Xenopus tropicalis: one gene and its partners. The protein of the gene in region 1 purifies or fractionates together with the protein of each later gene. This does not show direct contact. Links are inferred from orthologs where the notes say so. Each region holds a gene or a part of one and is shown in the gene's direction. Other genes may lie near its edges. The genes, in order: arih1, skp1, btrc, jun and cul2.

Region 1 (5,986 bases):
TTCTGGGTTTTATCACCCCTGACACCCCCACACAATTCCACTCTTTCATTTCTTATGTGGTTTATGTGATTTGCCAATTAATTGCACAAAAATGTAAATCAACAGAGAGCCTGACTATTCCACACATTATTAGGGAACTGAATCTACACTACCCCTATGAAAAAATTGCAGCCATATCTACTGGATGCCCCCCAATGGAAAAATGGACTATACTTCTCCTCTGAAAACATTGCTAAAGAGAAAAATTAAGGCCTTAATGTGCATCCATGTAATTTTGTATACCACCCTTTCCAATTTTTTTCAATAACTGTTGCCTTATGGCACTGTCTGTTAATGTTATTTTAAAATGATCTTTTAAAACTTATATAACGTATTTCTTATAAAGCATGATGAAACATGAAATGTTAAAAAAACAAAATGTGAATGGAAAAAGTGGAAGACATAAACACAATATTAGAGAGAGACAAAATGCTATAGAAAATTAGCAAAACTTTGTCATATTTGCTAGACACTGAAAATGGACAATTGGAGCCTAAACAAGTTTACGATCTCTTGACTGCACATCAGCTTTGCAGATTCAGATATTGCAAATGCAGTCTCTCATCAAGAAGGGTATTAGTAAATCTACACAGTTCTCTTCCTGATCAGGAAATTTCCTGTTGTACTCTGCTGAAACAAAGAAGTATATTAGCATTGAAATTGAAATTACTACCCTAAACAAAAAAGTAGTATATGCAGTAACATATATCTGTATGTATCTATATGAAGATCTTTTGTTTTTTTTAATAAAGATTTTTTACTTGTATGTTATGTTATGTTATGTTTATGAATGTATTAGAAATTTCTTTTTTATATATAATTTTTGTTGTAGTGTTAATAAGGAGTTTTAAACATTTGATTCTCTTTACATTCTCACTATTTCCTCTTTTACTTTACAGCTTTAACTGTGGAGAAAATTGGCATGACCCAGTTAAATGTAAGGTAAGAAACCATAAAACAAACACACCCTGTTTGGAAATTATAATGGAGAATTGTGTGGATTTAATATCAATGTTTAAAGGGAAATCAGATATGATGGCTGAAATGACAGCTCTTTGCACCATTTTAATGTTAAAGTAAATCTAAAATTCTGTGGTTAATCTTCATAGTTTATGAACCTACAGAAAGCTCCCTTTTTCATCCAAAATGTGGTTATCCAATGGAAGTAGTGGTTTCTACTGTGCATGGCCATGGTGGTGGGCAAAACCCCCTGTGCTACTGTTACACAGAGTAGCTAAGGGTTGCAGTTACAGGGTGAGGGGACCTTAAGCTGCAGACACTGATGTGTTTGTGTGATGGCAACTCTCCTTTAATGGTTGTCTTGCTGCAGTTTTTGGAATAGTCAAACTGTAAGATATTAATTACTGCTAAACCTTACCCAACAATCCTCCAGGGGCTCAACCCCACAGTTTGGAAACCTCTTGTTTTTTTGATGTCCCTGTCAACAGCTATGGCATACCCCATTCTGTTACTATCCTGTCAGTGGTGTTAACATTACAGGCATACAACTCTGTGCAGTAGGTTTTTCTTTTTAACAAATTTATTAGTAGTCTTTGATAAAAATCAATGATCAGACAGCGTGATTATCACAGGGGAGAGATTGCTGTAATAGGAGACATAAGTATCAATGAAAAAGCAGGATGTTGGTTTTAGAAATATTAGGGCCACACTACATATGGAACATGTGATATGCAGCATATAGTATGTTGTATTTTTGTTTAAAAATAATATTTTGTCATTGTAATTTTGTGCAAATTGTTAGATGTGGCAAAAATAATGATTTGGTTTCAAGTATCAGTGGTTATTACTATGGCTTTATGAAACCCTAGAAACTTAAGAAAGGGAATATAAAGTGCATAATGAAAACATACAAACACGTTCTCTTAATAGTGGTTAAAGAAATGGATTAAGAAGTGTGATGATGACAGTGAAACATCAAATTGGATTGCAGCTAATACCAAGGTAAGGAATGAATGTTTGAGACCACACTATGTAATGTAATTTTAGTGGGAATGGACAAATGTATGTTAAGGATTGTACATGTGGTAATGGTTGCTACATTCAGTTGTTATAATTATTTGTTTCAATTCAATTGTGCTTCTTTTAGGGCGGTTGGGCATATTGCGGTAAAGATTCACTTGTTTGGGGAGTGAATCTTACAATGTATGGCCATCTTAAAGAGGTTGTTCACCTTCAACGTCCAAATCTTATTAAACCACGAACAATGCACTCAGTGTGTTAGAAAATCCATTTTCCATTAAAAAAAAAAGTAAAAAGACCATTGTAAAAGCCACTTTAAAAGCTACTTATACCTGTTAAATTAGTCCTGCTTCTGTCTCTCTGATCAGTTTTCTGAAGGGATGGGCGAGGCCTATTTATCGCTGACCCCCCCCCCCCCTCCCAGCCATCGTTAAAACGGGCTGTATACTGCCTTGTTCAATAAATAGGCTCTGAACATACTTCTTGCATATTGTTTTTATTAGGAAAAAAATTTCTCTACTTCTCTTACACAGTCACATGTGGGCTTAATGGATTCTGTCATGTATTTTATTTTTAAATTACACTGTATACATAGCAATTGACCATTTCAAATTTTATTCTTGAACCAACAAATGTATTTTTTTAGTTGTAATATTGGTGTGTAGGCAGCCATCTCAGTGCATTGTGCCTGAGTCTGAGCTTTCAGAAGGAGCCAGCGCTACACATTAGAACTGCTTTCAGGTAACCTATTGTTTCTCCTACTGCCATGTAACTGGAAGAGTCCTATTCTGATATCTACCGGGAGCTGCTATCTTGTACCTTCCCATTGTTCTGCTGATCGGCTGCTTTTAACTCAGTAGTAAAAAAATGTGTTTGCTTTTAAAAAACAGATTTGTAGGATTCTGTTGGAGAAGCTCTATTAGGGCTCTCCCTGGGTTGCCTTCCCCTGCCATCCCACCGGCGAACATGTAAGTCGCCGGCGGGACGCGGCGGCGCGATTTCGCGCAAATCGCCGAAAAAGACTCGCGAGGTGGGATGGCAGGGGAAGGCAACTCGGGGAGATTAGTCGCCCGCGAAAAGGGAGTTTTGCCGCGGGCGACTAATCTCCCCGTGTGCCAGAGCCCTTAACGTTTTGAAAAACATGTTTTCCCATAACAGTATTCCTTTAAGATGACCTTTGCTCATTCCTCCTTTATTTTCCTATTACAGTATAGTTTCCTTTTACTATTTGCCAAAGTTTGCACATTACTCCTATAATTAGGTAGTAGTAGTACTTTTTTTTTTTCATTAGTAGGAGCTCAATGAATAGGGCTTGTTCTGGCCATACTTTGCCTATAGTTTTAATTAGCACTTTTCATTTTTGTTCTTAGGAGAGGTGTGCTGTTTCAGTCTGCAAATGGGATACTAGTCTAGCAGGATACAAACCTTACCACTTCTATCTACGTTAGGCCTTTTGCTCTTACCTGAAATTAGCTAGGCCACAGAACAGAAGGGAAATTCTACTTGACTTCTTTTCAGACTCATAGCTGATGTACAGCCTGCAGTAGAAACCTGATACATTTTTTAAAAGATTTTGTATACAATCAAGGTGGCATTGTACAAACACAGCATTAAGCTTTGTAATAATAATGAATAAAACTATCTGAATTTTTTATTAGACCCCAGAAAAAAATACCCCCTTTCTCTACGTTAGAGAGAGAAATTTTCCAACCTTAATGCCTTATTAGTTAGTTATAAGTAATTTGAAAATGGCACACGTATCATTCTTTTCCTGGTTTCCTTTTTTTTTTTTTTCTTTGCATAACAGGAGTGCCCAAAATGTCATGTGACAATAGAGAAGGATGGAGGTTGCAATCACATGGTATGCCGGAACCAGAATTGCAAAGCAGAGTTCTGCTGGGTTTGCCTGGGTCCATGGGAGCCTCATGGTTCTGCTTGGTAAGTATATAAACAGTTTAAGGCTATTTACAATCACTAGGTTCAAAAGTGGGTGTACTTAATTATACCTACAAATATACAAGCTGCTTCAGCTTATTGATACTTGCTCTATGCACACATTTGCTCTTTGTGCAACACCTTTTGGCTCAAGGGCATGTCTCCCCTAACACCTGCCTAAGCCAAGTGTTAGTATAGGGATTCTTTTTCAAATTGTGCTTATATGCCCTCACTGTTGGAACATTTGACGTTCACAACCCTGCATTTGCTCTTAGCCAAACTAGCTAAGTTCTTACTCCTATCTCAGCAAACCAGGTCTTTATGGGCTTTGTTTCATGCCAAAACAGGGAAGGCATGAAAGGACAGGGAAACTGTTCCCACGTAGTAGGAAGGACAGCATTATCAAAAATGTCGTTATCAGTGCCATCAATGGCATCAGAGGTGCTAGTCTACATCATGAAAACAGCCCCTCAGGCTGTTTTTCTTCGAGAATTATGTATTTGCATAGGTAGCTTTCTCTTTGCACCCCCAAACCCAGACTCATCTGTCAGCCTATAATTTAGTTTTGTTTACTACTTTTGACTAAACTAAACCATGTACATTTATTTTACTACACCTGTTTGTGGGATTTGTGCTTGACTGCCAAATAACCTTGTGGTTAGTCATCTATCTGCCTGAGAGATTGATAAATATCATAGAATGCCACTGCTTCAATGCCAGCAACATTTACACCACTCACTCCAGTGCTGTACAGTACAAGCCACTTGCTGTAGAGTACATGGTGGTATGTTAACTTTTAGAATGATGGAGAGAGAGTGCTATTGGTATTCGTTTTTTTTTTTATTTGTGTTTTTTCTAACATTTCCATTTTTGTTAAGCATCTTTCTAATTTGGAATTTCAGCAGCTATCTGATTGCTAGGGTCCAAATGATCTTAATAACCAGGGAATGGTTTAAATGAGATGCAGAAATATGAGTAGGAGAGGGTCTGAATAGAAAGATAAGCAATAAAAAGAAACAATAAAATGTTGCCTGCTGGGGTCAGTCACTCCCATTTAAAAGCTGGGAGTCAGAAAAAGAAGGCAAATAATTTAAAAACTATACAAAATAAATGAAAAAATTAAGACCAGTTGAAAAGCTACTTAAAATTGGCCATTCTGTAACATACTAAAAATTAACTTAAAGGCGAAGCACCCCACTTTGTAAATGCAAATATACAGATAAGAAAGGTTCTGTACAAATATAAACTAGATTTGGATATTGACTGTGGCATCCTGTTAAACTTTTTAAAAAGTACACATTTTACGTTTAAGGGCTCTGGCACACAGGGAGATAAGTCGCCCGTGACAAATCTCCCTGTTCGCGAGCGACTAATCTCCCCGAAATCCCATCCCACCGGCGAAAATGTAAATCGCCAGTGGGATGGCATACGGGGAGATTAGTCGCCCGCGAACAGGGAGATTTGTCGCGAGCGACTAATCTCCCCGTGTGCCAGAGCCCTAAGGACCCCATATACATTCCAACATATTTAGTGTATATCAACAGGTTTAATGCAAAGTTTATGATCATCTCAAGGTAATTTCTGGACATTATAAGCATTCCCATATCTTACATTGCTCTCTTACAGGTATAATTGTAACCGTTACAATGAGGATGATGCAAAGGCTGCTCGAGATGCTCAAGAGGTGAGTAGAGCTTCCATCTTCTAATGAAATGCTGCTCTTTTTTTTTTGGTAGAGATTGGCAGGCCCACTATACATGTAGAATACATACATCAGATATTTTGATGCATACCGTATATACTCGAGTATAAGCCAAAACCGAATATAAGCCGAGGTACCTAATTTTACCTAAGAAAACTGGAAAAACTTATTGACTCGAGTATAAGCCTAGGGTGGGAAATGCAGCCGCTACTGCTAAGTTTCAATAATCAAAATAAAAACCAGTAAATTACATAAATTGAGGCTTCAGTGGGGTATATGTTAGCTCTGTAAGTGGAGAAGAGGGTCAACAAAAACAATATGAGTACTACC
Region 2 (6,658 bases), about 66 Mb from region 1:
AAATCATTACATTTACCTGCAGTGCATAATGGTTTCACCCATCATGTTGTCCTTGGGATTCCATCCTGAACTACTGTATTGAAAATCACTTACCCCCCCTTAATGACTGGCACAGAATACAGGTATCAGGAGTCATGCCTATCAACTTAACTGGGGCCAAGATGGCCCCAAGAGTGTGGTTTCTGATGTCTGCATTCCCTTGCAGGTGATTGGTAGCTTCCTTTGTAGCAAAAACTGCAGTTCCTGTAAAATAATTGGTTATATATAATAATTGATGATTTCCTTTAGTCTTCTAGTCAAAACATACAGACCCTAGGCAGTGAAATCTAAAGTTGCCCAATCATTTGCTTGTGCAGCTACCTTTGATCATGACACAGCTGGAGGAAAACATGCCGGTCACTGCTTGAGCTATGAGCTTTTGTGGTGACATGCAGGTTTCAGACCAAAGATATTGATATTCTCAATATATAGAGAGATACAGAGAGAGAGAGAGATACAGAGAGAGAGAGAGATACAGAGAGAGAGAGAGATACAGAGAGAGAGAGAGATAGATATAGGTATAGATATAGGACATTAAGACATTCTGTGCATTAAGCTACTAAGAAATGACCTCCCCTTTTAGCAATATACTGAAAGCTGGCCAACTATGCCAAATTTAATTCCCGTACTGACTTTTATATTATTTATTAAGTATTTTACTGCTTCATTATACATTAGTACGCAGGGACTGATTTTTACCTGCAGTTTACTTCCTTTTAGTGCAAAAAAATTGTTGCACTTTTTATTGGCCACCATTGAGATCAACAGACTGTAGCTGGGAATGGTGAAGGCTACAATATGTAGAGTGCCTGAAAAAGTATATGAAAAACTTTTCAGTCAACTATTGTCTTAACACCTGCTGACCCAGCCCATCCATACCCAAACAAAATTAGATATATATTCGGCAGGGTTGAAAATCCTACATGGCAAAGACTGCATTGTCACTTTGATGCCATTCTCGTCTGACAAGTCCATGTAGGCTGGACCCACTCCTTATAAACCATTATATTTGTTATAATAAATTAAACAGTATATTTGTTTACCTGGGCACAGTGGACTCTCACATGGAACTTGTAGGGGATCAGTCACCGTTTTGAAATATCCACTATTATAGAGCAAAAGGAAATTGGTCAAACAATAATAAAATGGCATTTCCAAAAGCTTTCTTGATAATGAGTCTCCTTAATCTAGATCCCATACCTGTAAGATTAAAAATGTGCTTAACTACACAATTAAGATTTCAAGTACACTCTGTCCCCTCTAAGATATTTAATAACCAGTCCTCTTTTTAACAGAATATGGTAATTCCTATTGCCTTGTGCTGTTAGTCACTCTGCTCTGTATGTTGCTGTCTAGGCCAAACTTCTGTTATTTTAATTCATAAAGCCTTTGTTTAAAATGAGGCTGAGTGAAAAGCATGGCTCAGGGATAGCAAATGTCCTCTCTGTAATTGGCTGTATGTCAACTATTGATGTACAGATTCTTTTTCTGGGCAGGATGGGCAAATGGCCTCTAATGCAGATTTGGAGCTTGGCAATTGCCATTATCCTGGCTGCTATTGGCAAAGTCATACTGCAGCAGTAAAATGACACCCTTTGTTGGTAATTACTTTGTTCTGCTTCCATAGTTATACCTGCTCAGTAAGTCTTTCCCACATCATATATGCCAGAGACACTTTCCCTTTGTGTACTGCGTGCACACTAATGGTGGCCAGTGTTAACAAGGGTTCATCCATCTCCAGCTGTCCAGCCATTTGCAGTCGGCTGTTAAAGGAGCAGTGCCAGGTTGACAGCTGTTAGAATTTAGTGCATTTTCCCAATTCCTGCACAGCTCTCTGAAAATTGCAGAGTACCGGTAATTGCACATTCCGGATGAGACCCAAAGCTTTTAGCTCCTTATTCTCTTCCTGGTAGTGGAGGGCAGGGTGCTGGCAACAGTTGGCAGGCCCCTTCTTATTCCTACTAGCTGCAGCTTCTTCCCTTTGCTCATTAGGCCGTGCCAGACCACTGTATATTGCACAGTTGGTGTGGGTCTTGGGCAGAGACTGAAGCAACCAGGCACCAGGGCTGTTGTATAGATGATTATTTTTATTGGCCCTGCCTTACTGACAACCAGGGCATGAAACATGATGTTTGCATTTCATTAAAGCAGAAGGAAAGGTATAGTCACTGGGGGGGTGGTTGCCATGTTAGCCACTCTGTGATTCTACTTGCCTACAATGGCCTGCAGTGCACTTGCTGTGCTTGCTGCCATTTTGTTCCCATGTCTCTCCTGCTCACCATGCTTAAATGTGCTTCAGTGCAGCATCTTGAGTTTCACAGCTGCCTTCCTGATCATCTCTCATTGAAAGTACCAATTGATTTTCTTTCTGTTTTGCTTGCAGTAACTTCACTAAGCAGTACTGTTTGTGTTGATTAATGTGTTTTTGTTTTTCAGATGCCTTCTATAAAGCTGCAGAGTTCTGATGGAGAGATTTTTGAAGTGGATGTTGAAATTGCAAAGCAGTCAGTAACAATTAAAACTATGTTGGAAGGTACTTTTTAAAAAAAAATTCTTTGAATATGTATTCTTTATAATTTTGTCCTCTGGTGTGCAGGTCTTCATTTGTTTTTATTCTCCTAGCTTTGAAAGTGTTGGTGTAAAGGCACATTGGGCAATTGAGTGGATTCTCTCCAAAAGCAATCCCTTTACAGAAACAATATTGCTGGGAATTTTTCTTCTATGTAGCATTTGCATGACCTTTGAGTGCACCTGGGTGAACAGACATTTGCAATTGAAATGTCAGGGGTAATTCCAATCATTTTGTCATCCACTTTCAAATTGGGAAATTTCTTGGGTTTGTGGAGGATTATCTTTTTAGGTAGTAGCTCCTTTTACACTGATAAGAGACAGGTACACAGGGTACTTTAGAAAACATTGTTTGTACAATCCAGGATTTGGAAATGATGGAATAAGGGCTTTTTATTAAAAAAAAAAAAAGTTTTGGTGCTGTTCACTACATAACAGGTACACAGCGTTTCAAACTACTCATAACAGCAGTGATCCCAATATAACAAATAAGTAGCAGTCTTGCTGAAAAAAAATTGTCCTCAGAGGAACTGGTTGTAATATTTCTGTTGTGTTTAAATTTATTTTGTGTAAATTCTTGAGAAATCTCTTATTTGACTATAGTTTTAGAACATTGCCTTTCTGTCTAAATTATCTTGGGTTTTTTTTTACATTTTTTTGGCAAGACACAGTTATCAATTAAATGTTTTTAAACAGATCTGGGTATGGATGATGAAGGTGATGATGACCCTGTGCCACTTCCCAATGTTAATGCTGCAATCCTTAAAAAAGTAAGTGCTATTTAGGTAGTGGTTTTACGTATACCCATACTAGAATACTGGATGCAGATTAGAGATTGTTTTTTTTTTTTTTAGAGGTGTTGGTTTGCTGCAGGGATATAATGCAATGTAATTAGGACAAAAAAATTGTACCAGATTCAGAATTGTGTTAATTAAAAAGTTGCAACAGCCTCCCCCCCCCCTACACACACACACACACACACATTATTTATATTTGCTTATCACTGCCAGAAGAAGAACTACTTATAAATGCCAGGGTTTTAAGGCATATTGGCAAGTAAAAAAATAAAACTGAACTATTGGTTATTAGGAACTTCATCCTGCTGTTTGGGGTTTCATATTCTTGAGTTATGATGTATACTGTTTCAGACCTAGAAACACTTGCTCTCTAATTCAGGCAGTAGAGGACATTGCTCCTATTTTTGGTTTAGCTCTTCAAGTGTAGGTTGTTACAAGATTTACTTTTTTTTTTTTTTTTTTTTTTACTAGCTTGAATTATATTAACATATAAACAACAAAATGATGAAATTGAACATATCTTAAGTTTAGCAGTACCACATTGTCTTGGATTCAGGACCTGGCCAACAAATGCAGTCAGTTGTATAAATCATAAAGATAAATACCTATGTACTTTTATTTTCATCAGGTCATTCAGTGGTGTACACATCATAAAGATGATCCCCCTCCACCCGAAGACGATGAAAACAAAGAGAAGAGAACAGATGATATCCCTGTGTGGGACCAAGAGTTTTTAAAAGTGGATCAGGGAACACTATTTGAACTGATTTTGGTGAGGCATGCTCACCAAAAAACCCAACAGCTTTTATAGAACCCATTAGAATTACATAAGTGTATTTCTAGTACTTGTACTTAGTAGTATTAATAACCTTAAAGGGAACCTGCAACTTAAAGTACCACACAGTCTGAAGGTATTGCACACACAACACAGCCTGAAGGTAGTGCACACACAACACAGCCAGTAATTATTTGTGTTTTTGTCCGAAAGAGGTAGGAGAGTTGATATTTAAAAACCTTGCCATTAACATGTTCCAACAAAGTGTGCTTGTTCTCCTGCACTTGAGAGGTAAGGGTGAGCCCACATATATGAAACGTTGTGCATAATTTTGTCCTTAGTGGCTTCAATAAAGGCATCCACATGGCATCTGCATGTTGCTTCTGAGCAATATAGTTTTAACACACATAATTTTATTCATACATTAAAACGTGGCTGCCATTTTACTTGTTAACACATAACACAACAGTTACTAGAAATTTATACACTAATTCATAAAAGATTTTTAAAAATTTACATACACATGTCCATATATTCCTCAGTCAGCATAGATTTAACTTCCAAACTGAAAATGGCTGAAACTATTTTTTTTTTTTTCATCTCAATCCTATATACATAAATTACACTTGCATATTCATATGTAGTGCTTATACGCCACTTAAAGCACGTATGATAACTTTTCCTCATAAAATACCCTTCATTAATTTAGAGCGAGTCCAAAAAGAGCTACTATTTCATTAATATCCATTTAAGGATTTGAGACCAATACTGCACTGCATATTCTAGATGGGGCCTTTGCCAGTGTTTTCTAAAGTGGGAATATGTACTTCCCCTCTGAGTCTGTATACCTTGCTGGCTCTTCCTTCCGCTGACTGGCATTGCTTGCTAAAGCTAAGTTTATTTTCCACAAGTCACCCCAGCTCCTTGCATATTTTGGAATGCCACTTAGCAGGCCAGTCTCCCAGTTTGTCCAGTTCCTCCTAAAGGATGCTACATTCTTGGTGGCACTGATTGAGCTGCATAACTTTTGTGTCATTGTCATAAACATATATTGCTTCTAAGCCAATTCATAAGCTTTTCTGCAGTCTATTGGTACCATATCAAATACAAGGGAGTGTGAGCAAATCAGGGGTGGGTTTGAGTTCTTGCTGGTCAAAAAAAAATTGGGGGCTGGTTTGATTTTGCTTTTTTTTTTTTTTTTTTTTATCTTCAGGCTGCCAACTATTTGGATATCAAAGGATTGCTTGATGTCACCTGCAAGACAGTTGCAAACATGATTAAAGGAAAAACGCCAGAAGAAATTCGAAAGACCTTCAACATCAAAAACGACTTTACTGAGGAGGAAGAAGCTCAGGTATATATTTATACGCTTAAGTTTATTTCCTTTTACAAGTGTGTCAGCCAATATCTCCACTCCAACAAGAGTATTTATTAATGAACCTCTTTTATGCTATTTTCCTTTTAGGTACGCAAAGAGAATCAGTGGTGTGAAGAAAAGTGAAGTTGCATACCTGTTACCACTGTAACACTGTACAAGTCGTTCCAAATCAACTAGTTGCACTGCTCTGTTTATACTAGACAATTCAGCAGCTTAAATTAGCAGGAGGATGTTTTGCTGCATGTGTTGTGTCTGACATTTTTTTTTTTTTTTCTTATTGAGTAATTCAGATCTTCAAGCCGTGTTTTAACCATTGTAATCTTGTGTGATATTTCCTTTAAAACAATAATAAACCTGTTAGCTGCGTGCTTTGAAGATGAAAGATGGCATCACAGTAGTCTACTCCTGTTCTTGCAGAACTGTGTTTTGACAGAACTTTACATTTCCTAGATTTTGGCTTCTCTGACAAGGCAACTTCAGCAGCAAATCACAATGTGTGCTGTTTTGTGTGTATGGCAAAATAATCTGCCTGGAACATGTATGTGACAGACTCTTCTCTGTTTAGTGTAATTGGCCACTCAGGCAGTTATGAGGTTGTGAATTTTTGTTTTTATATAAAGTTCACCTTCTATGCATACAGACACTGATTTCATACTTTAACGAACGTGTCTCAAGTTCATGTGCGAGTATTTATCTTGTGTGGTGTCCCAGCTCTGAATGTCACAGGGAGACTTTAGTGGTTTACCTTTCCCTCTAAAAGCTTAGAGAGGTAGCATGATTTACATTTCCTTAGTGCAATAGATGCTCAAGCATAGTTTTGAGACAATTCCTTGGTTGCTTTTCTGTGCAAGAGAAGACTGTAGCACTGCTAAACATTTACTGCAACAAAGAGCTAAATAGGTTAGTGCAAGAGCCCATTTGTTAAGTCATATTTCTTTTTCTGTTCTCTCACATCCTTAATAGGAGCGGAAAGGTATAATTATTGGGAAGTGCAAAAATGTTATTTACTCCCCCCCCCCCCCCCCCCCCCCCCCCCATTGATTATAATTGCTTACGTGAGACTCCAGGCCAGTGTTTCTGGTTGCTGGAAACTGCACCATC
Region 3 (6,570 bases), on another chromosome or scaffold:
AGCTTGTTTATGTGATATATTATTATAGAGACCTGCATTGTTTGGGGGTATAGTTTTCCTTTAAGAAGAATCTGTGTGTTGTTGACATGGGAGCAGCACCGGATTTCAGATGAGGGCGCCCATAGGCCGTTCGCCCCACCACCCGCTTACATGCTAGCCCTAAATTTATGCCACCCTAGGCCCAGCCTTTTGTGGCCTTACTAGAAATCTGGGCCTGCATGGAAGTTGGAATCCCCAGTCTTGGACTAGTGTTTGACATGTGACACTAGGGGGCTGATTTACTAACCCACGAATCCGAATGGGAAAAATTCCGATTGGAAAATGAACATTTTGCGATTTTTTCGTAGCCGTTACGACTTTTTCGTAAATTGTCGCAACTTTTTCGTAACCATTATGACTTGCGCGAATTGTCGTGAATTTTTCGTAGCCGTTATGATTTGCTCGTATCTTGTCGCGACTTTTTCGTATTGAGCGCTCGTAAACTGCAGGCAAAACTTTCAGACTTAGCATGATTTTGGAAGCCTCCCATAGGACTCAATGGCACCCTGCAGCTCCAACCTGGCCCAAGGAAAGTCTCCCATAGGGCTCAATGGCACTCTGCAGCTCCAACCTGGCCCAAGGAAAGTCTCCCATAGGGCTCAATGGCACTCTGCAGCTCCAACCCGGCCCAAGGAAAGTCTCCCATAGGGCTCAATGGCACTCTGCAGCTCCAACCCGGCCCAAGGAAAGTCTCCCATAGGGCTCAATGGCACTCTGCAGCTCCAACCCGGCCCAAGGAAAGTCTCCCATAGGGCTCAATGGCACTCTGCAGCTCCAACCCGGCCCAAGGAAAGTCTCCCATAGGGCTCAATGGCACTCTGCAGCTCCAACCCGGCCCAAGGAAAGTCTCCCATAGGGCTCAATGGCACTCTGCAGCTCCAACCCGGCCCAAGGAAAGTCTCCCATAGGGCTCAATGGCACTCTGCAGCTCCAACCCGGCCCAAGGAAAGTCTCCCATAGGGCTCAATGGCATCCTGCAGCTCCAACCTGGCCCAAGAAAAGTCACGATACTGAAGCTTGAATGAATCCGAAACTTTCGTACTCGGCGCAAAGGCTACGAAAAAGTCGCGACAATTTGCGCAAGTCGTAACGCTACAAAAAAGTTGCGACATTATGCGAAAAAGTCGTAACGGCTACGAAAAAGTTGCAACATTTTCCGAAAAAATGCAAAATACTGATCATTACGAAAAAAACGCATTTGGACGCTTTTCGGACGCTCGTGGATTAGTAAATGTGCCCCTAGTTCTACCCTGACTCTTGGGTCCCACTAAAGGTGGCCACTCACGTGGTCCTTGTGGCTCTCATTCCCATCATTGTAATCTTATCATTTGGCACGAGGGTCAAACGATCCGGTTACGCCGATGTTGCTCACCTTAGGTGGGTATTTCAAGGGAAATATCTGCTTTTTTGCCAGCATCAACAGAGTAGCAGATCCTATAGAGTATGGCCACCTTCACTGGGGCTTATGGCTCGCTAGCCCTCTGTCCTCATGCTAACTGAATAGCTCTGCCCTCACACTTTCAACCTTGACCTTCTACTAGGGCATAATCTCTTACCCTTCCCTACTTCTTAAATATATAATAATAATAACATAAATGTAGTTGCACTGCTTTTTCTGCCAGTCAAATGCCTTTGTGCACTGCCCTAATTGAACATTTTGGATAATTCCCAGGACTGAGATACACATTAGAACATTAGATTCACATTACAAATAAAGAACAGGGAGCAACTGTGCAGTATAATTGTATATTTGCCTAGTTTTGTTTACTTTGTTAACTGCACTATTTACTATGAGCAAGATACCAGAAGAGGGTTAAAAAGGGCGTTTCCCTCTAACACTAGGCTTCTGGCTGCTTCCACACATACATGAAAGCTGATCCGTCTATTGTTTACAAGCTATTTCAGATAAGGAAACCACTGATTACACGTTCTACACACATCAGTCGGAGCAGGCCACGAATGCCATTTCCGTATGTATTTACAGTGCTTATCAATGAATCATTGTGTATCGTTCTTACGACAAAAAGTGATTAAAACAAGTTTCCGAAAAACACGAGGAGCTGACCCTGTATGCAAATTTAATCGGAATATATAGTCTTAAAAAGATGTCAACTTCGATTTTTTTCTGACGTTTGTTCCTTGCGGGCCGCCGTAGCGTTCTTAGTTAAGGGAACCATGTGACTATGATGTCATCGGATGAGGAAGTACCTCTCTGAATAAGGGTGTACTGGGGGTGATGGCATCTTATAAAAAGGTAATATCATCGATAGAAAATTTGCTCTAGATAAGCCTATTTAGCTGTACTAATGCGATATTGATGGGTTTGTAGGGTTTAGGGGAGCGTTTGTGAGACGCGCTTATAAGTAAATATGTCGGGGCTTGGTGACTGTGCAAGCTGGGCTGTCGGGTATCACCGGCTGCATTGATTGCGTATTTGCTTTGTCCTCTTTGTACTCTTATTACTATTATACATTGATGTTCTGCCTGCGGATCTCAAGCCGATGTTAAACTACCACTTCCAATATCGCCGGCCGCGGAGCCCGCCTGGGGTTGCTGGGAGTGGTATGGCTGACGATCCGCGGTGCTATATAACAATACCCTCAGCGCTATGGAGCTTATATCGGGCTGTGATAGGAAACTATATTATCTTGGGGGAAGGATGTCCGATTCTAGGCCCTCAGCCCCTACTGAACTACAAATCCCGTCATTCCCGGGAGAGAATGGTGGGAATTGTAGTTAATCGGCACTGCAGTGGCGCAGTCTCAACACATAGGCATTGCAGCATATCCAATTGGATGTGGGGTCCTTTTTAAAATTGCACATTTATATTGCACTCACTACAGGCCAAGGGTGCTTGTGGGTGATACATGAAGCATTTGATGGTAATTATAATAGATATATATATATATATAATATCATTCCTTTCAGTGGAATGCTACTTGTCCACCACCAAATTTTAATTAGTATGGTAGTCACTTCACACCTGGCTCATCTCCTAGAACAGTTCCTAGCTTCCTGCCTTTTGGGGATGCTGGGAGTTGTGGTCCAACAAAAGGCAAAGGTTTGCCCTTTGCTCATAACAATTATATTTTATGAAACACTCCGCTTCAATCTCATGGAAAATAGGAACCCGTGATTTAAGCAGCAATAGAACAAGGCCAGTCCATTGGTGGCTTCAGTAGCTCATCCACTGATTTATTCACCTGTTCTCAAGTGATTATATCTGGAAAACCTGCACCGGTGGAGTCTTTAAATAACCCAAATATCTTGTTTATTTTAATACGCGTAAAAAGGTGTGTTTTAAGGAACTAGCCTTAAATATATATCGTCAGAATTTTAAGGTGACTGCAAAGGAATTTCTGTGGCCCAGGAAAGGTGGAGTCATTGCGGGTGCCAATATGTTAGTAATGGGATTTACTGGGTGCTCCTTTTTTGAAAAAATTGCACTGAGCAGGGTAAAAGAACTACCAGAGCACCCCAGTGCTATTCCAGGCTTCTAGTACTTGTTTATGCCCATGCCTGGCAATAAGATAAGATGGCGGTGCAGTGTTTTGTTTACATTTTGGTACATTTTTTTTTCTTAAAGTAGCACAGGCATGAGGAAAAAACTTGAGGGTTCGAAGCCTTTTTCAGCTGGATTCAGGCAAATCCAAATGTCTTGCCAAACTGAATTCGAACCCTTGAAATCACTTGACTTTAGGTCACTCGATTAAGGAAATCACAAATTCACTTGCGCTATATGTGCATGTTTTTCCCATTATCTTAATTTGGATATGCAATTTAGGGCTCAGATTTGGTTAGCGATTCACCTGAATCCCTCATGAAAGATTTGGGATTTGTCCAAATAAAAATAAAATGTGGATTCAGTGCATCTCTAAAATATGTAGTGATTGGATTCACTTGGGTAACTAGCAATTTGTGGATAGGTCAGGGCCTATTTTTAATTCTTATCCAGGCCTGGCTAACATACTAACTCTCAGTGAATCCACCTTTCCTTGTACTTTAAAACATGAATATAATTTAGCACATGAACATATGGAATTAAAAAAAAAAAACAAAAAAAAACCTGCTTCATGGAAAGACCCAACTAAGAGACTCAAGGGTTTTATATGGCCTTTTCTAGGGATTGTGTAGTCCATGGATGCCTGAAAACTTCATAGGATCTGCCCACACTCAGATGGATAGAATTGACCAATGTGCTGGGAAAATATAGCTTTGCTCCAAAGGCATGTACTAAGTGCTTTGTCAGTCCTCACTTAAGCCCAACAAAACAACCTGGTTAATGCCCCCCCCCCTCAGCCCAATACCTTTGTGGGTGGGAAAGCTCAAACTCACACTACTAGTTCCATTTGATTGTTCCTTCAATGCATTTTCAGATTAACTTTTTAATTATAAAGTGAAGTCTTTGTTTAAAGTGTAATCAATTGTTATAGCCTTTTACTACCTCTGGTATAATGATTTAACTGTGATCATTTTATTTTCTGGAATCAGCTTATATGAAACCATAACATTGAGACTTAATTAAGAAACAATTTATATAAACTCTAAACAGTAACTGGAAAAGGACTGAGATGGAAGGATTTTCATGTTCTCTTCAGCCACCAGTAAGAACTTTTATTTTTATCTTTTGATTTATTTATTTATTTATTTTTGTGAACAAAAACAATTTGATTTAGCTTTGTTTAGTTTTTTCTAATCATTCTTTTTATGGTTTAAATGTTTTGTTCTGTTTTCTTTAAAAATTTAAAAATAAGTCATTACAGGTATGGGAAATGTTATCCAGAATGCTTGGGACCTGAGTTTTTTCCTAAATGTGGAAGCTACTAAACTTTTTAAAAAAAAAAAAACCAAAAAACAAATTAGGATTGCTTTCCAAAGGGTTTGTTACCATCAAGTACAGGGTACTGACTTATTTCAGAGACTAGCGAATCAGTCAAATGTGAACAATTGTTTGAAAAAGGTGTTATGGCATATGGGATTGTCTGATTTTTGGAGCTTTCTGGAAAACCGATTTCTGCTTTATAGATCCCATACCTATATTTCCATGGATTGGATGCAAAAGTTTTATCCTAATACTTGGCAGTGCTTGCTATATTTTAGGGCTATGCCACACAGGTTGAATTCAAGCTTTAGGCACCTCCATGATTTCAAGCTCAGTATGAAGGAGGCAAAATGCTTGAATTTGATTTTTTTTTTTTATAGACTTTCATAGTAACTGCTCCAACCATGCCATTGCACCCACAGGTCACCACATGCTCAATCACAAATTTCCAGTTAGGAAAAGCTTGACCCATGGGTCCACTGACTGAATAGTTAGCATAGGTGTCTAAAAAGTGTCATATTCAAGTGGATTCCTACTAATCTGGAATTCTCAAAACAGTCATTCACCCCATGTGCCCTAGCTATAAGGCCTGTTGCACGTAGGGGTGTTCTGTCTGCCACTGCCCTTGGACAGATAGCAGCAGCAAATCATCTCCTACTACTACTGAATGGAAAGCAACCTATCAAACACACACAGAGTGGTAGGAGGCAGTGCATTTTCGGCCCATAGTCTACTTGATAATACTATGTGTGCTTTTAGTTGGACGCTTCTTATTCAGTTGTATTTAAAATAATGACAGGCATTTTGTGCACCATTGTTCTCTGCCTGAGAGACAGTGGATAAAGCACAAGTGTGTCATAGGCCTTATAGACTGTAAATTACAAAAAAGTGCCACAGCACACCACAGAGAATGTATATCACTCACATCAGTCCTTGCACTATTGGGGCATCCCACAATGTTATGTGACACACACTTCTGTTGATTACACCATAACACTGCTGTTGTCTGACTGTGCCTGGCACACAACATAATGAAATGCAAGTTTGATCTGGCTTCATCAATTCGTGGTTAAAGCCAAGATGTGTTGGTGTAATGTGGTTGGCTACCTGTAGCAGGCTATGGAGTCTGTTTATTGGGACAAATAACTTTTTTTCATACAATTTCTACATCTAAATGTGGCTTACAAATAAAAATGGTGGATCTCTACTTTAGAATAAAAATACAAAACAAGACAATATTCAGGTTGTCTCAGAGTATCAAATATATGCTAGTTAGTTATAACCTGATTTTCTGCTTTAATCAGTGGAAACTCAGGCATTTGAAAGGTTTTTCATCTAGGTCAAGGATGCAATCTTTTAAGGAATTTTTATTGTCAGTCATCTGCGGAAGAGCTCCTTTTAAGTTATCATCATCATTTTAGTATAATCTGGCCCATAAATATGTAATGGGCCAGTTTATAGGATCAAAATAAATTAAACTTTACTTGTTTATTATTAGCTTATTTTGTTAATAGCGTCAAGGACATACTGCTAAATAGTAATTTTAAGTATTTAGAAAGGCCTGTTGTGTGAGCACTGCTTTAGTGCACCAGTGTGGTCCTTTTGTAACCTGCCCAATATCTGTATGATTTTCAGTCGGATATTGGTCAGGCTGGCACACAAACTGTCTATTTAAAGGGCCAAGTCAGAAGCATTTCTCTTCCACTGGA
Region 4 (6,550 bases), on another chromosome or scaffold:
TACAAAACAAGCAGATCAAGTCCCCAACAAATATTTGATGCTTTACTGCTCATAATATGCTTATTCCATATAGGAGTAAGAACATCCTGTTGAGGAAGGATGTTCTGGTGTTATAATTTTAGAATACATTTTGAGAATGAAAAGAACTGTAATATACGCCGCACTAAGCAAGATTAAAAATACTGCAATCCTATTATACATAAACATGCCAAGTTTAAAAACCAAAAGAATTTATTATGAAATATTAAGAGAATGTTCATAATTTACATTAGTTTCTGTTCCAGTGGTGCTTTATCAGAGTTTTATCAGGAGGCAGTTCACCTGCCCCAAGTGTTTTGGAGTGTGTGGGGGAATCCCACAGAAAGCATGCTACCTCTAAAGCTGGTAGTCCACTGTTCAGAATTAAACCAGAAATGTGCAAGGTGGGAATCCTCACCAAAAATTCATAAAGCAGCAACATATTCCACAGATCTACGCTGGCTAAAAGTTCAGCTGTAATGCCAATTTAAAATTTGACACAAATTACTTGTTACTTTTTTTTTTTTTTAACCTAGGGGGTGGGGTTAACATATTACATGATCTCCTACCAACAACAGTTTAGGAGAAAAATCCTATATCCTATATATGCAATTAGAATGCTATTTGCAAAGCTCAGTCTCAGAAGGGATTTCCTCACCGCTTTCTTCTTTAACCCATTAATAACCTTGGCACTTATTCTTACATTATGGTTTCTCTTAATGTTTTCCTGTACCATGTGGATATACAAAAAAGAAATGTTGCTATTTAACACTTTCAGCAGCTCTTCATGAAAGATGTCCAACTCAGTTAGGGAACTATCCTCTGTGGAGGAATGGCTGGGTATCATGGAAGCTGTAGCTCAGCAGCTGTTAAGAGTGGGTTTAATACTCAAGATCTCTATCAATTTCTAAGGATTTTCTATTCACTTTGGTGATAAACCAAATAGCCTGCCTGCTCTCTACCCATAAAAGCCAGTCTCCGTTCTCATGGATGCAACCTGATCTCCTGTAAACTTTTTAAGCCTCCCCAGCGCTCCCCCTACCTCCTTCACCCTGCTTCCAATCATCCTTTTTTTACTTTCATCAACGCCCACATCATAATCTACACACCCACCCACCAATAAACTCCCTCCCCCACCAAATTAAAAAAAAAAAAAAAAAAAAAAAAAAAAAAAAAAAAACTTTCCCTCACCTTTTCTCCCTGGCTATCCACCCCAGTGCAGAAAGGCATGATCATTAGAATGTAGCACATGCCTACACAACACTGGGACCCTTTTAATAACAATGATGCTATACAGCCTTACATGTTCTCTGTCACTGACACTGGTGTATCTATGCAATGTTGCGATCCTCAAGCTCTTGTTGAACTCCTAGTCACATACAGCCCCACCCCCACACACGGACCCGCAATGGCCGGAGGGCTGCAACTTGGTCTCCCCCGTGTCCTACACAAAGTAAAACAGCGAAGAGAACAATAACTATAAAGCCAGTAAAACTATACCACACTAATAACATTCTACCGAAAATAACCAGTTGTTTCAAAACTACAACTCCCAGCAACCACTACCACATTTTAGTTCGGCAACTAACAAACAACATATTGAAAAACCTGCCATACTGATCGCTTAAACCTGTGGAAATAATCTGTTTCAACTCTGAGTTTTCAGTTTCACCAGCCGACAAACACAGCCCAAGTCCTCCGGTTCCTTATGTGACAGACAACCATTACAACCATATCGCGCTTTGCTAGGAAAGGGATGAGTCTCCTCCGCGGCTTACGACTACCATACAATTGCCTCAAGCCCCTGTCCAGTACCAGGGGGTGAGCGGAACAGCCCTTATGGCGGGAAACCCACGTCAAACTACCATCCCAACTACCAAAGCAAGGAACGGGCACCGCCAACAACAATACGTCAGCCCACAATGCCCAGCGGCAAAGGAGCATTACCTCATCCCATGAGCCTTCGCGAGAGTTAGAATCTTCTAGGGCGGTCGTCATAGCGACCGAGGCTCATTTGGCCTCGCTGGCCCGCCTCCCTTCCCAAGGCTCAACCAATAGCAGGACGTTGGGGTGACATCATGTCTATTTTTAGTGGGTGACCGCTCGCAGATAAGTGTTAGCTGCACGCTGTCCCACAGCCCAGTACAAGTGAGTAGAGCTCACACTGACAGCACTTGTGGCGCTTGGGGAGAAGGAACGTCTAACTTCTCAGTGACTTCTTCCTTGTGTCCGTGTGCCTGACACCTATACTGGGCACACGCACACACCCAGCGCTCGCCATTACATATCTCCGGCGGCGCTTTGGAAACTTTCCCGGGAGTTTATAAGAACTTTTGTGGCGTTCGGAGTACGAGGACCTCTTTGCTGCTAGAGACACAAAGTAAGTCGCATTTATTTCTGTTATGTGCCAGGCTGGGAGCAGTTGTGCTTGAACTCTCACTACGGGACACTGCCAGTTGTAGTTCGGCAGGCGAAGCATAAGTTCCATTTAGAAGAGGGGTGGAGGTGCCATGGGGTTCGGTGTGTCAGCTAACAACCTGTTCGCTCTTCTCTCTAGGCTGGTGCTGGTGTCACACTAACGTAAGGTCCAGTCATCGTCCCTGTCCGGCATCCGTTCTATGACTGCAAGGATGGAACCTACTTTCTACGAAGATGCCCTGAGTGCTGCTTTCGCCCAGCACGATGCTACTCCCTATGGTTACAACAAGGTGCTGAAGCAAAGCATGACCCTGAACCTGTCGGACCCCAGCAGCGCCATCAAACCTCACCTGAGAAACAAGGCAGCTGAACTGCTCACCTCCCCTGATGTTGGGCTTCTCAAGCTCGCCTCCCCGGAGTTGGAGAGGCTTATCATCCAGTCCAGCAATGGCATGATTACCACCACCCCGACCCCCACCCAGTTCCTGTGCCCCAAGAATGTCACAGACGAGCAAGAAGGCTTTGCAGAGGGGTTTGTTAGGGCACTGGCAGAACTCCACCATCAAAACAACTTGCCAAGTGTAACCACTGCCACCCAACCTGCCAGCACGGGACTGACACCTGTATCTACTATTGCTGGAAACACTGGCTTCAACAATAGTCTTCACAACGAGCCCCCTGTGTATGCCAATCTAAGTAACTTTAACCCAAGTACCATCACCACATCATCGCCTTTTAACAGCAACACCATGGGGTATACCGGCCAACATCAGAGTAACCCACCAATACCCGTGCAGCACCCCAGGTTACAGGCTCTGAAAGAGGAACCACAGACTGTACCTGAAATGCCTGGGGAGACTCCTCCACTGTCCCCTATTGACATGGAGTCCCAGGAAAGGATAAAGGCTGAAAGGAAGCGTATGAGGAATAGAATCGCAGCATCTAAATGCAGAAAAAGGAAACTGGAGAGGATTTCCAGGTTGGAAGACAAAGTTAAAAACTTAAAATCCCAGAACTCTGAACTGGCATCCACTGCCAACATGCTTAGAGAGCAAGTAGCCCAGCTCAAACAAAAAGTCATGAATCATGTCAACAGTGGGTGTCAGCTAATGTTAACACAGCAGATGCAAACATTCTGAAAAGGCTTCTTTGGGAAAGAGATGTGAGAATTATTTTGTGGAGGGAAATAGTTTCATGTTGAAACTCCCTGGCTCAAAATGAAAGGCACTGAGACCTGACTGTTCTACGTGCGTGTGCGGGGAGTCCTGACAAGCCTTTAGGTGGAGCCTGTGGCAATGCAACAAGCAGTATCACTTGTCAAGTGCTGTTCCTGCTCTAATGAAACATCAGATACATGTTTAACATTGACCAAGACCTGCATGGACCTAACATTCGATGATCATTCAGTATTAAGAAAAGGTTAAACTGCTAGAGACACTAGATTGCTTCCGTAGTTTTCTTACAAAGGGAGGGTGTGGGAGGGAGGCATACGGGACATTGAAAAGTAAAATTAATGACAAATCTGCCTGCCTTCTACATAACTGTGTATGTGTACATATTTGTTTTTTTTATTATAATATTAAGAAAAACTGAATTATTTCAGTAAAATTGCTTCAAGCATTTGTAAGTTATTTTTATGTTTGGGTTAATAAACCCACTACTTTCTGTAAATAAGAGATATTGAGCACTCTTGAGTTTACCATTTGTAATAAAGTATAATAATTTTCTATGTTTTTGTTTCTAAGGACAATTCCAGACGTTCAATTATATTTAAGATATTAAATAAAAGATGTGGAAATTAGATTTTTTTATTTATATTGATATTTTTTTTTACACTGCAATAAACGTGCATGTTAAACTATCTCCTGTGTATAGTACTTGATATATTGCATGAGTCTATTCAAGGGTATTATATTTTGACAATTATTTGATATGGGTATTGGGCAATATAAAAGTAAAAGCAGAAAAGAACATACTGACCAATATTTTCTTTATATCATAGCACTTGGGGTTATTTATATATGCTATTATAAAGTTCTGGGCTTTTGGCAAGAGTTTGCTGCTGTTATTATATGTTTGAGGGGTTAGGAATGGTTTACAGTATTCTCCAGCCTTATTGGCTAAATAATCATTTCCAAATTGTGCACCACAAATACCAACTGGTTGCCAGCCCTCTTCAATTTTACAAATTGATAAATAGTTGCTTTTCCTAAGTTTATTGAAAAAAGAAAAGTGTAACAAATTGATATAGTAGTAGTAACTAAAGTAGCTACTGATGAGAATATACCAACTAATTTATTAAACTGTAGCATTTTAGAGTCCTTGTTTCTTAAGGTGCTACTGGGAAACACAAGAGGTGTGAAATAAACACATTCCCTTGTAAAATGTACATTTTATAAAAACTTTTTTTTAAAAAAGTCCTTTTTGTGGTGTACTATATGTAAACAATATTTTGTGAAGGAAACTACCCTTATAATGACTATGATTATTGAAGTCTACATGTAAGCACCACTAAGGAAAGTAAACCCACAGGGCAGAGATGACTGGTCCACACTAGGGTTAATGTGCTTGTTCCTCTCAGCTGTGGATGCTAGTGTGCTTTTTACCTATCCTGTTATGAGTGGCAATTAGAAATTGTAGTCACAACATTAGATGAACACAGTGATTTATGCTGAACAAGTTGGGAATAACAGTAATTACATTTGTCTCCTGTTAAAGAAAATTACTTTGTGATCCAGCCATGACTAACCCATATTTGAAAAATAAGCTCTGTGTTGGAATGCATAGGCCCAAGTTGCTTTTTTTTGTGATGTAAATAACATTCTTATAAAAAATATTAGGATGCAAAATGCAGAGGGTTGTATACCAGGTACAATAAATAGGCTGACAGGAAGGATTCAAAATACATACAAAGCACAAACAAATATTTGCACTATTTGTTTTGGCTTGAAACAGGTGGTACATTAAAAAAAATAATACAAATGCTCTTTACTACATAATATTATAAGCATAGTTTCTGTTTTCATAAATTAAACTGAGAGATATGAAAACTCCCAAAAATGAATACTGCTGAAACAGTGTTGCTAAGTATATTTGCAGTGTAATTTTATGTATTTAAAATTCTGAGTGCTACTGTACCAGCAACCAAGGAGAAATTACATTTGCATGCATCTTTTGCAATGGAAACCAGTTCTGACATTAACAGAATGCCATCTCTGGTGTCCACACCTTTTGTACAGAAGTCTAGGGACAGAGTTGCCCTCCTTTACAGCTCCCAGCCTTGATAACACCTCTTATTTCCTCATGCTGGCAAATTAACATTAAATTGATCTGGCTCTCACATGGAGAAAGAATTCCCAACATTATGTAAAAAAAGGCATGTGGGCAAAGTAATCCATTTGTTGGGAAACTGACAATTTGTTGAGCTAACCTTTGAGGACAGTAGTATGTATGTATGTATGTATGTATAACTTTATTTATAAAGCGCTACTTATGTACGCAGCACTGTACAGTAGAATACATTAATATAAACGGGTATTAAAATAGATAAATACAAAGTATTACAATAAGCACAAATAAATACAAGATACAGCTGCAATAATACAAGATAATACAAGATACAGTTACAATAGTGTTCCTTAAGCACTGGTACTAGTTACAGAAAGTTGCACAGAGAACATGTTTTATTAAAACCGAAAAATTTGTAAATCACAAAAGTGCTCAGAAAGTTTAGAGGGTTTTCATTTTTTATTTAAGTTAAATAAATAACTTACCCTATGAAATGTATAGTGTATAGTTTAGTTTTTTTTACTTAGGAATTGTATATACAGAACCTTAAACAATACCTGAACACATATCTGGGAATTATCAACTTGGGAAAACAAATCATATACCATTTGTTTATACCAGGTATAAACCAAATAATATACGGTAGATGTAGCTGGCGCTGCAATAAATCTGTATGTAATTCTTTAAAAACATATCTAAGTTCTAGAAATTATTGGTGTGGTCAATTCCCTAAAAAGAATACCTGCACATTCTTCTTTTCTGTTTTCTCTTCTCATGTATTGTATTTGCACCTTTATTCCTAATATTAATTCATAATCCTCTGCCC
Region 5 (6,486 bases), on another chromosome or scaffold:
GAAAATCCTATCATATTTACCATGATTTTTTTTCCTGCCCTTGGGGGAGAGCTGAGACCCGTACAAAAAAAAAAAAGTAGACTGGTATGGGGCGGGGATTCTATTTTATGAGCTTGTTTGTCATTTCCTGTCCTTCACATGACAAGGGGGTTAACCCTTTAGTTCCCACTGCCATGTTTCAGTCCAGGAAAAAAAAATCACACTAGTATGATAGGATTTTCTAATTTCTTAGAATACACAAGTGCCTGTGTGTTACACAAGTACCTGTGTGTTACATTACACAAATGTCATCACTTTGAGCCTGCTGTAACTGATCACATGACCAAGGACTGTTTATAAAGATATATTTCACGGATTGCTCATGGCTGTTGTGTATTTCAAAATAACTTTTTTCTGCTACAGGTATGGGATCCCTTACCCGGAAACCCGTTATCCAGAAAGTTACGAATTATGGAAAGGCCATCTCCCATAGACTCCATTATAAGCAAATAATTTTAATTTTTAAAAATTATTTCCTTTTTCTCTGTAATTAGAAACCAGTACCTGTACTTGATTCCAAATAAGATATAATTACCCCTTATTGGGGGCAGAACAGTCCTATTGGGTTTATTTAATGGTTAAATGATTCTCTTTTCTCTCTAATAATAAAACAGTACCTGTACTTGATCCCAACTAAGATATAATTAACCCTTATTGGGGGCAGAACAGCCCTATTGGGTTTATTTAATGGTTAAATGATTCCCTTTTCTCTGTAATAATAAAACAGTACCTGTACTTGATTCCAAATAAGATATAATTACCCCTTATTGGGGGCAGAACAGTCCTATTGGGTTTATTCAATATTTAAATGATTTTTAGCAGACTTAAGTTATGGAGATCCAAATTACAGAAAGATCCCTTATCTGGAAAACCCCAGGTCCCAACCATTCTGGATAACAGGTCCCATACCTGTACAATTAATCTGTTTTGCTATCTCTAACTGTAAAATGAAGACTAATGGTATTTTATTAACCTATTTTAAGTAACTGCAGAGTGGGAGCAGATGGTGGGAACAAATGGAGCACACATGTACTCAAAGGGATGTTATGTGCCATGTTATTCTATACAAGTGTGCTTGGGTGTATTATAGTATGTCCAACCTGTTGCCTTTCAGCTGTTGCCCCACCACCAGATCTGTGGGAAAAAGGCAGGAAATCCCTGGTGTATCTCCAGAAAATGTTTACTTATCTTGTATAAAAATACAAAGAGGTATTTATAAACTATGTACAACAGAATATATTGGAAAGATTTCATTTTATGGTGCCATGCAATGGGGGTGCTGCTTGGTATATTGGTGATATTTAAAGTGTATAAGGGTAATTACTTATAGTCCCCAAAAACATGGCCCTAAATACCACCTTCACCTTATAATGTTCTACAGCAGTGGTTCTTAGCCTGTCTGTCTTGGACCCCTTGAGATTTGGGATGAACTCTTATTTGCTATTCTAAATATTCTTAGAAGCATGGCTGAATGTCTGATACAGCAGTGTTTTTGTATGTCTGTCACATCACTATTCTCCAAGTGAAGTCCTAACCGAGTACTGGACCAACAACCTCTGCTCTATGGAGTTTCATTTGTAATGAATGCTGCTGTATGTTGTGCATGTTGAAGTTTATCTAGGGTGAAGACACACAGAGCTACTAGTAGCAGCTACTTGTCGTGGCTACTAAAATAGACAATGCTGATCATTTACTGATAATTGTCTCTACTTGTGTTTTAGCAGAGGTAATTCTCAGTATTGTCTATGGCAGGGGAGTTTCTGAAGTTTAAATAGCCATAAAAAAGTAGCTGCTACTAGTAGCTCAGTGTGTCTTCACCCTTATAGATACTGTAAAATTGCACATGGAAAATCTTGATTTCCACATGATATGTCTCTTTTAACATGTCTGTATATTTTTGGAACATGGTAACAAATCCATAATACCTGAGAAATCTTCCAAACACTGGGAGAAACTCCCAGTGCATATAGTGATCTGGTTCTTTTGCCACAAGGCAGTAATAAGCATTATAATGGTTGTTCACCTTTGTCTTAACTTTTAGTATGATTTAGTAATTTAATTATTTCAATTTTTGTTCAGCAATTTCAGCAGCGTTCTGGTTGCTATGGCTCAAATTACCTTAGCAACAAAGAAGTGGTTTGAATGAGACTAGACGATGAGTAGGAGAGGACCTGAATAAAAAATAACTGATACAAAGTAATAATAACAATAAAATTGTCACCTCACAGAGCAATCATTTCTTGGCTACTGAGGGGGGCAGTGACCCCCATGTGAAAGTTGGAAAGACAGCAGCGAATAATTTAAAAACAAAAGTAAAGTTGATTATAATAAGTCATTGTGCAAGATTGTTACAAACATAAAGCTCAATAAACTTAAAATAAACAAACGGAAACTTTAACAAATTCGCAATGCCTTTTTGGTGAAATTGGGATAAGAATTGTTGAGCAGAACACAGAAATGATATTATATTGGGAGGCACGGCAGGGGGCAAACAACACAATATAGTCTTGTTGTTGTTATTAGAAGTAGAAGTAGGAGGTGCGATGACAGGAAAAGCAGATTGCGAGCTGACCTAACGCAACCTACCCGCAGCTTCACTCCCACAGGGCGGCTACGTGTGCGTCACTGCGTCACTGCGCGTACGTCTAGCCGTAATCTCGCGTGATGAGACTAGGCGTTGGGCTTGTGTGTAAGACAGGAGGCTGGGACCCTGCACTGGACAGCTTTGCGGGAGGTGTAAGTAGCGCTGTGGGACTGCGGACTGTGCTAGGGATAGCGGGACTGTGGGGCAGCAGCCACTGACTTACCGGCCCCCCTGCTGTCACTGACTGGGAGACTTGAGCAGAGAGGGCGGGAGGCTGAATGTTCCCTTCCCAGCTCTCTGTGCTGCTCGTTTTGTCACAGAAGTTTTCGGCAAGGTAGAGGTGTATAGGGATTGGGTAATATTGAGAATGAAGTTTGGACCCCCCCCAGCCTATGTAGTCCCCATAGATCTCTACATAAGTAAAACTGTGTAAAAGGCAGCAGTACAGCTGTGTAGGGGGAAGAACATGCACAGACACCTGAGCCCTGCCCTTCCTTGTGTCAGCAGCTGACTGTCAGCTGGGGGCCCAGTAAGCCAGGGAAGTGTAGCACAGCTGAACTGAGAGCCAAAACCCAGCAGGCCCTACACGACTGTGTCCTCTCTTCCCCCCAGTGGTTGCACTTTCTATAAACAGAAACCGAGAAACAGCTGATCCACCTTTCCACTTACTATTCTGACAGCACTGACAGGCATGGGGTTGGACTGCAGATTTCCACTCAAAAAATGCATCATTTCCTGTTTTTGCCCCAAATTGGCTCTGTGTCTGCTCTCAAACCATAGCATTGCCTGTCAGTGCAAAAAGAAGAGCAAGTGGAGGAGAATGGATTGGCTTACATGTATACACAGGCCCAGAAACAGCCACATCTGCTTGATCCTTAAGGGTGAAGACACACAGAGCTACTTAGTAGCAGCTACTTGTCAAGGCTACCAAACCCCAGAAAATACCCTGCCATAGACAATGCAGAGAATTGCCGCTGCTAAAACATACATAGAGACAATTATCAGTAAATGATCAGCATTGTCTGTTTTAGTAGCCATGACAAGGGTGAAGACACATGGAGCTACTAGTAGCAACTACTTGTCGTGGCTACTAAAATACAATGCTGATCATTTGCTGATAATTGTCTCTACGTGTGTTTTAGCAGAGGCAATTCTCAGTGTTGTCTATGGCAGGGGATTTTCTGGTGTTTAGTAGCTGTGAAAAAGTGGCTGCTACAAGTAGCTCTGTGTGTCTTTACCCTAAAGAGGCTATTCATGTCTGGTAAAATTCTGGTACTGTAAGGAAAAAATCATGTAGACAGGTATGTACATATAAGCAGCAAGACCCTGATTAGGTTCCACCTGAGGATGGATGTTGATTTGTGAGACTGCATTTGCCCATTAGCTGCCCTCCCCTCCCTCCCTGATTTTGGCAGTGTTATCAGAGCCCACACTGAAATAAGAAGGCAGCCATAATGTCTATGTTGCAGCTTATCAGTTCATCTGCCTGCCAAGTGATGGGAGAATAGTGATGACGTGTGTAGTGCAAAGATCAAATGTTCATGACTAGTGCAATCATTTGCATTGTTTGGGGTGCGCTTTACTTGGTTGGCAGCAAGATTTGTTTGGGTGGAGATCCAGGGGATGAAAAAGATGCCAGAGAGTAAACAGATTGAAAAATTGCTGCAGCGATTGTGAATTCATTTTTGTATTTACATGTATGATTATTTTGGCTGAAGGGCCCATAACCCTAATGTCTTGGCACTAGGCTGGTGCCAAAAAAGCTACTGTCATTCAGGGTCAGCCAAATTCCGTTTTGATATGTACATGAATATGCTAGCACACATCTTCCAACTGAGTCACACTCCGAATGCATAAAGCTTAGCTTATATTGAAGCATCTATAAAAACCATATATGCTAGCGCACATACGTGTATAAATATATTGATTGCCAGTTACTATGTAACATTCTGTTTAGTGCCTCGGTTTGTTCGATTTTGGAGCAGACTAATACTTTTTGGCAACATTTTTACTACCCTTTTATCAGCTAAAACAATTTGTACATTTTGTTGATAACATAGGTAGATATGGCAGGAACAGGAAATGCTAATTGATTAAGTAGTGCTCAGTTTGAGTCTAACTGCTTCGCTGTTATCTGCACTGTCAAGTCAGAGCGCCCTTTAAGACCAGAACATTTATATTTATAGTTAATCACCTGCTCGTATCTGTCAGTGGCTTGTTACTTGGTTTTTAACTTGTGAAATTACTTCTGCTCTTGCAGAAACTGAAACGTAACCTGTTGTGCATACACTTCCTGCCTTTGCCTGTCTGTAACCTCTTGAGCTAACACTTTAGAGTGTCGTTGGACTGGATTACATATGCCACTACTACATGAGATGTAAGGATATAATTAATTTATTTTTAGTCAAAGATAAACAAAGTCTAAGCAGAAAGCGCCTAAGAAATAAGTGAAAGATCCCATATCTTAAGATGTGCTTGAATTATGGAAAGCCCCACAAAATAAGTCTGAAGGTATGCAGTTCAGCAATACTGCAGTATTTCTTCCACCCAGTTGGGTGGTTACTTACAAAATCACAATCTGGTTATAACAATTCAAAATCTATCATAGAGGGAATCCTTACCTTTCCCAGCAGTGATGCAAATCTCACTCTCTCCAAATTTTTCTGCGCAAGATTTTTCACATACAGAATGTAAATATATACCGTAATACAATTTTTATTTCAGTAAAAACTTTCCATCTTAAAAAATGAGCACTCACAAATGCTGCATAGATTAATTGCATTCCATAATAGTTATAAGCCAAACTTCCATAAAATCCTGGATATAGGGTCTGTTAAAGTCCACATTTTCCAACCATTAAAGGAACAGTGTCAAAAACTGGGTAACCGCCTATATTAACCCTGAGTAATGTGGCTGTAATGTTTATAAGTGGTTTGCATATTTTTAAATCCCTAACACATTTGCACCTTTTAGTGAAGGGGGTCTCTCACTGATAAATACACCTTTATGACCACACAGGGTTCTTTCCAAACATGGATCTATTGTTTGTTATACGAGTGTGTTAACACTATATTGGACACTTTATTCACCTTATTCCTTTCATAAAGGTTCAAAGATATTTTACTATTGGTGTACACTCATTGATTATACTATTTTGTATGGTTGTATTTAGTTCCACCTAATTGGGACTGTAAGTGGGCCTACTCACAGTGCAAAATGTGCCACTATGTTTGGTTTATTTTATCCATATGTGATTTGATGGCTTGCTTTTTAGTCAGAAAAAAACTGATGATGTTATTGTGTTAGAGACAAGGCTTCCTTGCACCCACCAGCTCTGCTGGATTTTTAATCTTGTACATTGTGCAGCGGGCATAAAGAACCCAAGCGGTTTATTGTAAATGACCACTTTTGTATTTTGAACAGTTAAATCTAAATGTCTGATGTTTACAATGGTATTCTAAGACTAAGTGGAGTTTTTTTTTATTGGAAAATGTCCATATATGAGGTGCTAGAAGAAAGTCTATTTATGTGTGTAAATAATTTTTTTTTATTATTACACCATAACAGACTAAACAGATATGTTTTGAGTCTGGAATGGAGGGAAAGAGTGGGGATATGAGAAATTAAGAATATCTTCCAGATAAACAGGGTCTTTATTATTATGATATATAATAGCGAAAGGGGCAATTTTGAAGGGAATCCTCCATGTAATTGGAAACCAATGTAGGGTAATGTGGCATTGGCAGTGTCGATGAGTAGCCTGGCTGCTGTATTTTGTATCAGCTGTAATTGGTACAGTCCTTTTTCTGACAGACCATAATACAGGGGCATTGCAGTAATCCAGTCGTAAGGAAACAAAAACA

The links.
Region 2: the proteins of arih1 (region 1) and skp1 purify together in Homo sapiens (affinity purification with mass spectrometry; 4 studies listed by BioGRID and IntAct, with this or other methods). This does not show direct contact. The link is inferred for Xenopus tropicalis from reciprocal best matches to the Homo sapiens genes ARIH1 and SKP1.
Region 3: the proteins of arih1 (region 1) and btrc purify together in Homo sapiens (affinity purification with mass spectrometry; 3 studies listed by BioGRID and IntAct, counting the BioPlex papers as one, with this or other methods). This does not show direct contact. The link is inferred for Xenopus tropicalis from reciprocal best matches to the Homo sapiens genes ARIH1 and BTRC.
Region 4: the proteins of arih1 (region 1) and jun purify together in Homo sapiens (affinity purification with mass spectrometry; 3 studies listed by BioGRID and IntAct, counting the BioPlex papers as one, with this or other methods). This does not show direct contact. The link is inferred for Xenopus tropicalis from reciprocal best matches to the Homo sapiens genes ARIH1 and JUN.
Region 5: the proteins of arih1 (region 1) and cul2 purify together in Homo sapiens (affinity purification with western blotting; 3 studies listed by BioGRID and IntAct, with this or other methods). This does not show direct contact. The link is inferred for Xenopus tropicalis from reciprocal best matches to the Homo sapiens genes ARIH1 and CUL2.

What each region holds. Positions count from the first base shown.
Region 1 is NC_030679.2:92,184,084-92,190,069, forward strand, and holds part of arih1 (E3 ubiquitin-protein ligase arih1), read left to right. Parts: intron 1-938; coding exon 939-981; intron 982-1,929; coding exon 1,930-2,001; intron 2,002-3,826; coding exon 3,827-3,957; intron 3,958-5,580; coding exon 5,581-5,638; intron 5,639-5,986. UniProt on the Homo sapiens protein: E3 ubiquitin-protein ligase, which catalyzes ubiquitination of target proteins together with ubiquitin-conjugating enzyme E2 UBE2L3.
Region 2 is NC_030679.2:26,566,414-26,573,071, forward strand, and holds skp1 (S-phase kinase-associated protein 1), read left to right. Parts: upstream 1-2,473; 5' UTR 2,474-2,475; coding exon 2,476-2,572; intron 2,573-3,303; coding exon 3,304-3,377; intron 3,378-4,032; coding exon 4,033-4,176; intron 4,177-5,392; coding exon 5,393-5,533; intron 5,534-5,644; coding exon 5,645-5,680; 3' UTR 5,681-5,939; downstream 5,940-6,658. UniProt on the Homo sapiens protein: Essential component of the SCF (SKP1-CUL1-F-box protein) ubiquitin ligase complex, which mediates the ubiquitination of proteins involved in cell cycle progression, signal transduction and transcription.
Region 3 is NC_030683.2:30,527,271-30,533,840, forward strand, and holds the start of btrc (F-box/WD repeat-containing protein 1A), read left to right. Parts: upstream 1-2,249; 5' UTR 2,250-2,275; coding exon of another isoform or gene 2,276-2,293; intron 2,294-4,530; 5' UTR 4,531-4,591; coding exon of another isoform or gene 4,592-4,610; coding exon 4,611-4,643; intron 4,644-6,570. UniProt on the Homo sapiens protein: Substrate recognition component of a SCF (SKP1-CUL1-F-box protein) E3 ubiquitin-protein ligase complex which mediates the ubiquitination and subsequent proteasomal degradation of target proteins. Recognizes and binds to phosphorylated target proteins.
Region 4 is NC_030680.2:86,737,711-86,744,260, forward strand, and holds jun (transcription factor AP-1), read left to right. Parts: upstream 1-2,131; 5' UTR 2,132-2,636; coding exon 2,637-3,575; 3' UTR 3,576-4,298; downstream 4,299-6,550. UniProt on the Homo sapiens protein: Transcription factor that recognizes and binds to the AP-1 consensus motif 5'-TGA[GC]TCA-3'.
Region 5 is NC_030682.2:21,642,035-21,648,520, forward strand, and holds the start of cul2 (cullin-2), read left to right. Parts: upstream 1-2,626; 5' UTR 2,627-2,775; intron 2,776-4,888; exon of another isoform or gene 4,889-5,000; intron 5,001-6,486.